Kluyveromyces lactis: one gene and its partners. The protein of the gene in region 3 purifies or fractionates together with the protein of the main gene of each other region. This does not show direct contact. Links are inferred from orthologs where the notes say so. Each region holds a gene or a part of one and is shown on either strand. Other genes may lie near its edges.

Region 1 (2,778 bases), about 700 kb from region 3:
CGTACGTTACATTTCACGGAGCCGACGCAGGAAGAGATTGATAACTATACACTAGTATTGAAAGGTAATTTGGCACTTGAACGGTTGGTGGTTCCTGAGGGCACCAGTGGATATAACATCGATGTTATTGCCAGACAGTTTTTGTGGCAAGCTGGACTGGATTACAAGCATGGTACAGGTCACGGTGTTGGTTCATTCTTGAATGTTCACGAGGGACCAATCGGAATTGGATACAAACCACATCTTGTAAATTTCCCCTTGGAAAAGGGAAATATAATCACCAATGAACCAGGTTATTATAAAGATGGTGAATACGGTATCCGAATAGAAAACGATCTACTCGTCAAGGAAGCTGAAGGACTACAATTTGGTAAGCGTAAATTTTTGAAGTTCGAGAACCTAACTATGGTACCTTACTGTAAGAAGTTAATCAACACAAGTCTTTTGACGCCAGAGGAGAAATCACAGATTAACGACTATCATACAAGGATATGGTCTTCAATCGTTCCATTCTTGCAACCATCCAGTATTGCATTCAAATGGCTCAAGAGAGAAACTAAATCACTATGATCCGTGCCTTTCTTTTCTCTATTAGATCACTGATTTTGTCTACCTATTCGGAAATGGTGACAGAACTTGTTCCAATTTCTTCACATGAACATGCGTTTTCTTATTAATTTGGTCCATATTAGTATTTCCTTTCTATTCAACTTCTTAATTCACCTTCGTTTATCAGAATCACCATTTTTTTTCACTGTCTATTCAGAGTCAACTAAACATATGCAACGTCCTTGTTGTCTGTCTATATAAGTACTTTTAAATATTACTTCCTTCGTTAACATGTACTGGTTGCACTAGTATTAATGCCATTCATTACCCATCGCCAGATTTCCCCCTGTTACTCATATTTGTCACGTGTGGTCACATGTTTTCATCCGGGTAACCATATCCTGACAAGTAAGAATCCTTTTCGTTTTTTGCTGACGTGAGATGACAGTTACCCGTCCCACATCCCTTACTTTTCCCCGGGATCCGAACACGGATCAAGTAGGAAACGCGCAGCGGGACTGATTCGTTGTAAACTAGTCATTCACTTTTTTAACTTGTTATGATGTATGCACAGGAGAACAGAGGATGAGAAAAAAAATTGAAAATTAGAGGATATATAACGAAACACTTATAATAAAGCATACTTTCTCCCGTTTCTTTGGTTAGATTCCAAATTTGCTAGTATCCAAATCATCAATCAACTGAAGGCAGGCCATACTCTCGCACAGGTTGTACAGAGATTACATTCTGATTCTATTATTATTTATTAGCATACAACGTTGTGGTTTTTCTACATCAGTACTTGAAATATTGATATCCATCGGGTTTGCTCCAAAAGTCCAAAGAAGGTAAAACAAAGTGAAAGTGACTTTCTCACGCAGAAGGAGCTCTATTTATCTATTGATTTCAAACGATGCAAAGACACATACTATCTAGAAGCAACCAGTGCCTGCTGCGTGGCAATGTGCTGGCAGTGAGACATCTTTCTCAAAGGCCACTGGCAAGGACTAAGAGGTTTTTGCAAACCTCTCAGAATGGGGATAAAGTGAATGCTCCAGTTTGGCCATTCAATTTTGAAATTCCAGTGAAGAACGGTAAGAGTAGTGCACCTGGTACACAGGAAGAAGCATCTGGATCTGGGACCGCAGGTGCTAAAAAGACATGGCTCACTTACTCGCTTCCTAAAAATGTTGCCAAGAAGGGGGAACCTTTACAGACCCAACCACCCAAAGTCGATGAAAATATTCAACCAAAAAAACGTGCAAAGAGAAAGCTAAGGCCACGTAAAGCTCTAATATCGTTGACGCCCAATGCTCTTTCTCATTTGAAGGGGTTGCTCGATCAACCTGAACCTAAACTAATAAGAATAGGAGTTAAAAATAGAGGATGTTCCGGTTTGACTTACGATTTGCAATATATTACTAGTCCAGGAAAGTTCGATGAAGTGGTAGAGCAAGACGGTGTGAAGGTTATAATTGATTCAAAGGCTCTTTTCAGTATAGTTGGTAGTGAAATGGACTGGGTAGATGATAAGTTGTCCTCTAGATTTGTTTTCAAGAATCCAAACTCTAAGGGTACATGCGGATGCGGTGAAAGTTTCATGGTATAATTAATGCAAGATCTTTCCATCATCATCGGCATCATTATCATCCACAACTTTGCATTGGGATGAAGCATAAATATTCATCACCTGTAAGGAGCATTGACTGTTGTCGCTTTCATCCGGATTGCCTCTGGAGAAAAATAAAGAAACTAACAGTTGACGCAACTAACACAACACTCACCCCACGTATTATTCTTCTGATAGGTTTGCTACCTCTTACTACAAGGTGTTTAGTTTGGAAAACTCATTCTAACGACATTTATTTATACAATAGCATCGGATCCTGATCTTTTTTACTAGCAGGTATTCTTTCCATTTGGGGTACGTACGGGGGCATAAAGCGTCCGGGACGCTGATGATATCCCCCGGAGGAGAATTGCTTGAATTTATTCTTTTATTCATTTGTTCAATGCGATACACCCTAAGAAATCCTCCCTCATTCAATCTCTTTCTTCCACACCAATAATACCCTTAAACACAATTACAATCATCATTATAATTCTATATGTATATTTATTGGTCACAAAAAATGCTACCTGATGTAGCTCGTTTATAACTTTTTTAACATCATATTTATTCTATCAAACCATATTCTAGCTACGTTACTTTAATTAAACGGACGTTGC
Region 2 (4,457 bases), on a different chromosome or scaffold from region 3:
TTTTTGCAGGATTTGACATTCATTGATGAAGGTAACCCAAACTTCAAAAACCCTGACTCATTTAGACCGAACAAGCTTATCAACATCGACAAATATTTCAAGATCATGAACACCGTATCCATGATGCAATTTTTCCAAGTTGGCTATGATCTTGAAAATAAACATAATCCATCAAAAAAAAGGGACTCTTTCTTCAGTTTAACCGGCACCATCGATATTGACTCAAAGAGTATCAAGCCAGTTGCAGAGCTACAAGAGTTTATCCTTTTCGAATTTTGGAGAACGAATACGTTATATGTAAAAGATTCGGATAGAGGATACACTTTGAGTTTAGAAATGCTACCAAGAAATTAAGAGGAATGAAGAAGCATTACTTATAGATGAAATTGATACATTGTAATTCTTTCTCCTTTTCGCTCGAATGCTGGACGTTTTTCCTGTCTTATGGTCGTATAAAATGTAATCGAAATTTAATGAGTATACTTGATATTAACAATAAATAAGTGTTGCAAAATGCATATTAAAACTCCAGAAGAGCCTATTTGTTACAGAATTCCAAACGGAAACATTATGCCGCTGAACGACGTAGAGTACCGATGTAGTTAATTGCAGAACCTGCCTTGAAGAATTCAACTTGGTCCTTGGACATGGTATGTTTAGTCTTAATGATGAATGATTCACCGGAACGTTTCGTTACTTTAACGTCCAAAGTACCTCCATTGTCACCATACTTAGCAATCATGTCCGCTAAATTAACGGTTTCTATAACGTCACCAGAAGAGATTCTATCATAATCAGATTCATCTGCAAAAGTTAATGGCAACATACCTTGCTTCTTCAAATTTGTCTCATGAATTCTTGCAAAAGATTTGACCAAAATTATTTCACCTCCAAGGAATCTTGGTGACAATGCAGCATGTTCTCTAGCAGAACCTTCACCATAGTTATGTTCTGCTACTACAATCCATGGTCTCTTATCTTGCTTCCATTTGATCATTAATTCTGGGATACCGTATGCAGTTCCATCTAAGTCATAAGCTTTATTTACTTCACCTGTTTCTTTATTTTGTGCACCTATTAACGTGTTGTATGAGATGTTTTCTAGATGACCTTTATACTTTAACCAGACACCGGCGGCGGAAATATGATCTGTCGTACACTTTCCTTCCACCTTCAAAAGAACAGTAGTTTTCAATTCTTTACCGTTCCAAGGTTCAAATGGATCTAACAATTGTAGACGGTCGGAATCTGGAGCAACTTTAACTTCCACGGATGGATTAGGTTTCGGATCATTTTCAGGATAGAATTCCTTTCTACCTGAAATGAATCCGGCACCAGGTAGCTCTTCTCCCTTTGGTGGATTGAATTTGAACTCTTCGCCATTCTGTAATTTGATAGCATCCTTCATTGGGTTGAATTGCGCATCTCCAGAGTAAATCATTGCTGTGACCATTTCTGGAGAAGTGAGGAAATTCATTGTGTTTCTATTACCGTCATTTCTTGCTCTGAAGTTTCTGTTGAACGATGTGAAAATGGAGTTATATTCTTTGGATGTTTTGGCTACATCTTGCCTATCCCATTGGCCGATACAAGGACCACAAGCGTTTGCAAGAACAATAGCACCATTGTCCTTAAATGTCTTGATTAGGCCATCCCTTTCTAGTGTTGCTCTAATTTGTTCAGAACCTGGAGTTACGAAGAATGGGATTTTTGGCTTCAACCCTGCTTGAGAAGCTTGTCTAACCAATTCAGCAGCACGGGTCATATCTTGATAAGAAGAATTGGTACAAGAACCGATCAAACCAGCAGAAATTCTTTGTGGCCAATCCTCTTTCAAAGTTTTTTCCCCGAACTCAGATATTGGTGTAGATAAATCAGGTGTAAATGGTCCATTTACGTGAGGCTCTAACTCTGACAAATTGATTTCGATCACTTTATCGTATTCAGCTCCTTCATCAGCTTTTAGGAAATTATATTGGTGCAAAGCTTGGTCTGCAGCAGACGCGATAAAGCCTCTGTTGGTAGCCTGTAGATAACGTTTGTGAGCTTCTTGGTAAGGGAAAGTAGAAGTGGTAGCACCGATTTCGGCACCCATATTACAGATGGTCGCCATACCTGTACAGGATAGAGTGCCAACACCTTCACCGAAATATTCAACGATGAAACCGGTACCACCTCTTACGGTTAAGATACCAGCCAGTTTGGTGATAACATCCTTTGGAGATGTCCATCCACTTAAGTGTCCTGTTAATTTAACACCCAAAATCTTAGGAGCTTTCAATTCCCAAGGCGTGCCGGTCAAAGCATCGACTGCATCAGCACCACCGACACCAATAGCGATTGCACCTAACCCACCAGCGTTTGGAGTGTGAGAATCGGTACCCAACATCATCAAACCAGGAGCAGAGAAGTTCTCTAGCACGATTTGATGGATAATACCAGAACCAGGTCCCCAGAACTGGATACCATATTTGGATGAACATGATTGCAAGAAATCGAAGACTTCTTGGTTTGTTGCAATGGATGACACTAAATCCTTGGCTTCACCGTCTTTACCAACGATTAGATGATCACAGTGAATAGAACCTGGAACAGCTGTTTCTGGTAACCCTGTAGTCATGAACTGTAAAAGAGCCATTTGTGCAGATGCATCTTGCATAGCCACACGATCTGGGTTAAGCTTCAAATATTGTTGACCTCTAATATCGTTTAGATTGGAGGATGTTATTGATTCATGAGGATCACATAAATGTGAGTATAGGATTTTTTCAGCCAGTGTCAACGGAGCATCATTTACAAGACTCTTGACAACTTCTAGATTGGAAATAAGTTTGGCATATGGCGGTACCCTAGACTTCAAGTCAGCGGGAGCTTGCAGAAATGGTTCGACACCATTACCGATAACTGTGGATAGGTTTCTAGCACGGTTTACTACCGATCTTCTAGCAGATAGCATTTTGTTCTCAACTATAGCCAACAAACCTTTTGTCCTTGCGTACTAGAATATAATCATAGTAGTTTCCAGAACAAAGATGTAATACCGTGAACCACCAATAGACACTACCTATGAACAGCTGAAACTATCATATGTACATATATATATACCTATAGCTTTAATTGATTCGAATTCCTAGCTCATCGCATGTCAAAAGAGTGAAAAAAAACGAGAAATTCAATGGAAAAAAAAAAGTACAGAGACAACTAGCAGAACAAGTACTAAAAACTGAAAAATACCAGTTCAATTATGGAATTCTACTCGAAGACTCTGAGAAATCAGTCAGCAATCTTAGATGAGACAGTAAAAAATCCAATGGAAATTTTTTTATTTAAATCGATTTTTCGCTGAAGGGAAAATTCCGTGGGAATTTTTCCGATTTGAGTACTTTCTCGGCCTCGAATGAATGAGTCAGAGAATTACACGTGACCGGACTAGAAAATAAAAAAGAAATTCCAATATCTATTCTCCAGAAGGTCCCAGGTTCGAATCTCTCTCGGTAAATAAATATATATAAAGAACTGAGGAATTTCCCCATAAATTTGTCTCTTACCATATTAAGAAAATTACTGGAAAAAGTAATCTCGAATCCAATTCTGAAAATATTAAATCTACATTTAATCATAAAGGGCCCACGTGGGACCTAGTCTGCAGCCGTGAATGAAGCACTGAATAATAAAAAAAAGGAACTAAACAAAAAAGTATAAATCCGGCCACCCCAGAACCGCAAGGCAGCGGGTGATAACTTAGTTTTGCGAATATCAGTATCTCCGATCTCTCAGCAGATCACTTGGCTTTTAGCCGTGTTTATTTTGAGTTTTGTTTTATACATTTGGCTCAGGTATTCTCCCTCGCTATATGCGTTCTGCCGTGACAGAAAAAAGAAAAAGAAAGAATTCCTATTTTGAATGGAAATTGTGGAAATGGAACAGCATCCACTAACGATTTGAACAAGAAGGATACTTATATAATGGAAGCGGTTCGTGGCTTGGGAAGACTTTGGTAGTTTATGGACCGTTTGTGTATAGAATATACATATATACACTGACGAGCTATCTGTTTAGTGAGACATTGAGGTGTATAAGGACTGAGATATATCCCCTACGGTGAGGAAAAGTCGGAAAATAGTGTGAATCATCTCGTTAGAAATGAAATTCTCACACTCGTTGAAGTATAATGCTGTACCGGAGTGGCAGGATTACTATATCGACTATTCTCATTTGAAGAAACTCATTTACTCTTTACAACAGCAGGAATTGGACCAGTTGAATGGGGGCTCTGATAACAAGGCTGGATCCAGCAGTAAGTCGAATAAGCTTTCGTCGTTAAAGTTTTGGAAGAAAAATGGGCTCGAGGACGATTCCGATACTGGCATCGTTAGTGGTAGTGGATTTGGTAAGAACAGTGGTGGTGATGATGATGCTAACGTGGAAACTATTGAATTAGGTGAGTATCCAAACAC
Region 3 (2,792 bases):
TAAGGGCAGCGACAGATATAGCAAACGTAAGTACGGAGAAAAATTGAACACGTCTCATCGTGGTCTTGTTCAATTTAGGGTAAACCACACCGTAACCTTTGCAAATAACAAGAAGTAAGAATAGAGACATGGTGATCTTTGCAGAGTTCAAGATTGAAACAATGACCATGTAAACAGTGGTACCAGCGGTCGAACCCTTAGTGTTCTTCAAGTCATAGTAACCCCAAATGAAGATTGTATCAATGGTTAAAAACACAAATGCAGCCAGTAAATATTTTTGCAAGGGCAATAGTTCATGCTTGTGTTTCCAGAAGGCAAATAAGTACAAGGCCATAGCGACAACATAAAAGATTGCCAATAACCCATACAATGGCAATTTGTTAATTTCAGAAGCAGCTAGATTACCAAAACTATTCCTGAAATTTACCTCAGCCTTGTAAGAGATCCCAGTGTCCTTAGCGTAAGTACCAACACAATAGTAACCAGTTTTCTTAATGGCATATTTGTCCTTCACAAGACCTGTATTTCCCACATAGAACGTATGAATGTCGGCACTTAATGACTTTTCGGTATCACTATCTGGATCATACGCTTCAGGTGAAATGATAAACTGGTTCTTGTTCTTTTCTTGACATAGATTCTCTTTTATCGCTTCTTCGTCACAGATATACTTAACTACACCCGCTTTCGTCTTAGCCCCAATGTGGATGTAATCTTGGAAATCAAAGATCACCACAGAGATGCCTTCTTTGTTCAATTTCTTTAAATCGAACGAAATATATGGATCTACACGACCACTCCAATCCTCTTTAGAATACATACCACTGCAGATTTGATTCTGCTTCTCTGTGATAGTACCCTTATTGGCCGTCGCAAAATGCAACCAAAGGGCCGTACAAAACAAAGTGACCCAATTCAATTTGAAATTCATCGTATTGTCTATCAAAAGCTAATTATAGGCCTTTATTCTCTCCTTTTTCCTAGACTCTCAAGAAAAGATCGGCAATTAGTTTTATTTCGTCTCTTTAAGAATCACACAGCCTCGGATATAAAGTAGGGTCCACAATTCACAAGCTACCACTGGATAAGAATAAATAGCACACAATTGGAAAGAAAAACCTTGTTCTTGTACAGTCGGAAACCGTCTCAGTATATTTTGCTGCCTTCCATTAAATTTTGTTCTGTTACGATATCTAGTGGGTCATTTCTTGTAAAAGGGACCTTTTATTTTCTCATTTCTCTAAAATGTTCAATCCATAAATTATCTGAAAAAACGTAATTTTCAAGAGATTTCGAATTAAAGGAATTTCCTCTAGTATTACAAAGCACTCATCTTATGCTAAGATGATTAACAAGTGGTTTGTGCATATATAGAGAAAGGATGAGAAGTTGCAAGACAACGGATTGTAAACTGCGAGGATGTTAGGAAGGTTTAGTTTTGGTCCCAAGTTTTATAAGAGCGTACATCGAACGGTGTTGAATCCCGTATGGCAGAGGTCTATTCATATCAAGACACTTACAACGCCTAATGAGAATGCATTGAAATTTGTTTCCACAGATGGGGGGCTGCTACAGGAGAAAGGCACACAGAGTGTTGAGATCAAGAACACTGATGAGGAGCTTTTGAAACATGCTCCATTCCCATCTAAAGTGTTCCAGCAATGTCCTGGTGTTGAAGCAATGATGATCGGTGATGATTTCGTCACTATAAATAAAGATGAACTGATTCATTGGAACCAAGTGACTCCTACGGTGATAGATCTATTGGTACAACATTTAGCCAGTGGGAAGCCCACGTTTTTACCAGATTTCTTCGACGTGAAAAAGTCTTCCGAAGTTGGGTACGATGTGGACATTCCTAAATTTGAATACGATGAAGATGAGCAAGAGATCAGCGAGATGATCGATGAATTGATTCAGACAAGGATCAGACCTGCTATTATGGACGACGGTGGTGATATCCAGTACCGTGGATGGAATCCGGAGACAGGGACAGTTTATTTGAAGTTACAAGGTGCATGTAAGTCATGTTCGTCCAGTGAGGATACCTTGAAGCATGGTATTGAAGCTATGTTAAAGCATTACATCGAAGAAGTAGAGGACGTGGTTCAGATCTTGGATCCTGAGGAGAAGATTGCACTTGCGGAGTTCGAAAAACTTGAGAAGAAGCTGGAGAGCAGTAAGAGATGATTGCAATTGCCCAGTATGTCACTTCTTTCTAGCAATGAAAGAAACGTACAGGCATAACTAAGACTAAGCAAGGAATGAATCATGACAGCATGTATTTGCAAGGTATTATGCAAAACAGAAGTACACTATTATTTATTTATTTAATACATTCTATTTATCCCCTATTAGGATGCCCTTCTTGGGATCGATTTGTTTGATGTATTTTTCAATCCGAGAAGCCATCATGATATCAGCATCGGAAATACCAGATACATCATGCGTAGTGAGTCTGAACTGAACTCTGTTGTAGGTAGTAGTAATTGTAGGATGATGGCCCCATAAGTGTGACCTCATGGCAACTTTGTTCAAAAAACTCCATGTCTCTTCAAAATCTCTGAACTTATAATCTCTAACCAATTCATTCTCCATTAATCTCCATTTAGGCAATTTTCTGAGTTCTTGTGTCAGAAGTTTTGGTGGCAACAGCACTGGTACCTGTTTTACTATCTTATTGTACATGTCTATACTATTCAGTGCTTGAAGAGTGGCATTTATTACCTTTTCCAGCATCTCTCTATGCGTAGTTGATAGAATTCCAAGATGTAAGAAATCTTTATTAACTA

Evidence for each region.
Region 1: the proteins of NFU1 (region 3) and ISA1 purify together in Saccharomyces cerevisiae (affinity purification with mass spectrometry; 3 studies listed by BioGRID, with this or other methods). This does not show direct contact. The link is inferred for Kluyveromyces lactis from reciprocal best matches to the Saccharomyces cerevisiae genes NFU1 and ISA1.
Region 2: the proteins of NFU1 (region 3) and ACO2 purify together in Saccharomyces cerevisiae (affinity purification with mass spectrometry; 3 studies listed by BioGRID, with this or other methods). This does not show direct contact. The link is inferred for Kluyveromyces lactis from reciprocal best matches to the Saccharomyces cerevisiae genes NFU1 and ACO2.

The regions. Positions count from the first base shown.
Region 1 is NC_006042.1:1,662,966-1,665,743, forward strand, and holds ISA1 (Fe-binding Fe/S cluster assembly protein ISA1), read left to right. Parts: upstream 1-1,462; coding exon 1,463-2,158; downstream 2,159-2,778. Other genes in the region: FRA1 (aminopeptidase P), read left to right, coding at 1-570. UniProt on the Saccharomyces cerevisiae protein: Involved in the assembly of mitochondrial and cytoplasmic iron-sulfur proteins. Probably involved in the binding of an intermediate of Fe/S cluster assembly.
Region 2 is NC_006039.1:307,468-311,924, forward strand, and holds ACO2 (aconitate hydratase ACO2), read right to left. Parts: upstream 2,957-4,457; coding exon 569-2,956; downstream 1-568. Other genes in the region: Ras family guanine nucleotide exchange factor BUD5, read left to right, coding at 1-354; PHO90 (SPX domain-containing inorganic phosphate transporter), read left to right, coding at 4,144-4,457. UniProt on the Saccharomyces cerevisiae protein: Catalyzes the reversible dehydration of (R)-homocitrate to cis-homoaconitate, a step in the alpha-aminoadipate pathway for lysine biosynthesis.
Region 3 is NC_006042.1:2,367,135-2,369,926, reverse strand, and holds NFU1 (Nfu1p), read left to right. Parts: upstream 1-1,419; coding exon 1,420-2,190; downstream 2,191-2,792. Other genes in the region: KLLA0_F25498g (uncharacterized protein), read right to left, coding at 1-931; MCO14 (4a-hydroxytetrahydrobiopterin dehydratase), read right to left, coding at 2,341-2,792. UniProt on the Saccharomyces cerevisiae protein: Involved in iron homeostasis within the mitochondrion where it is involved in the assembly of iron-sulfur proteins.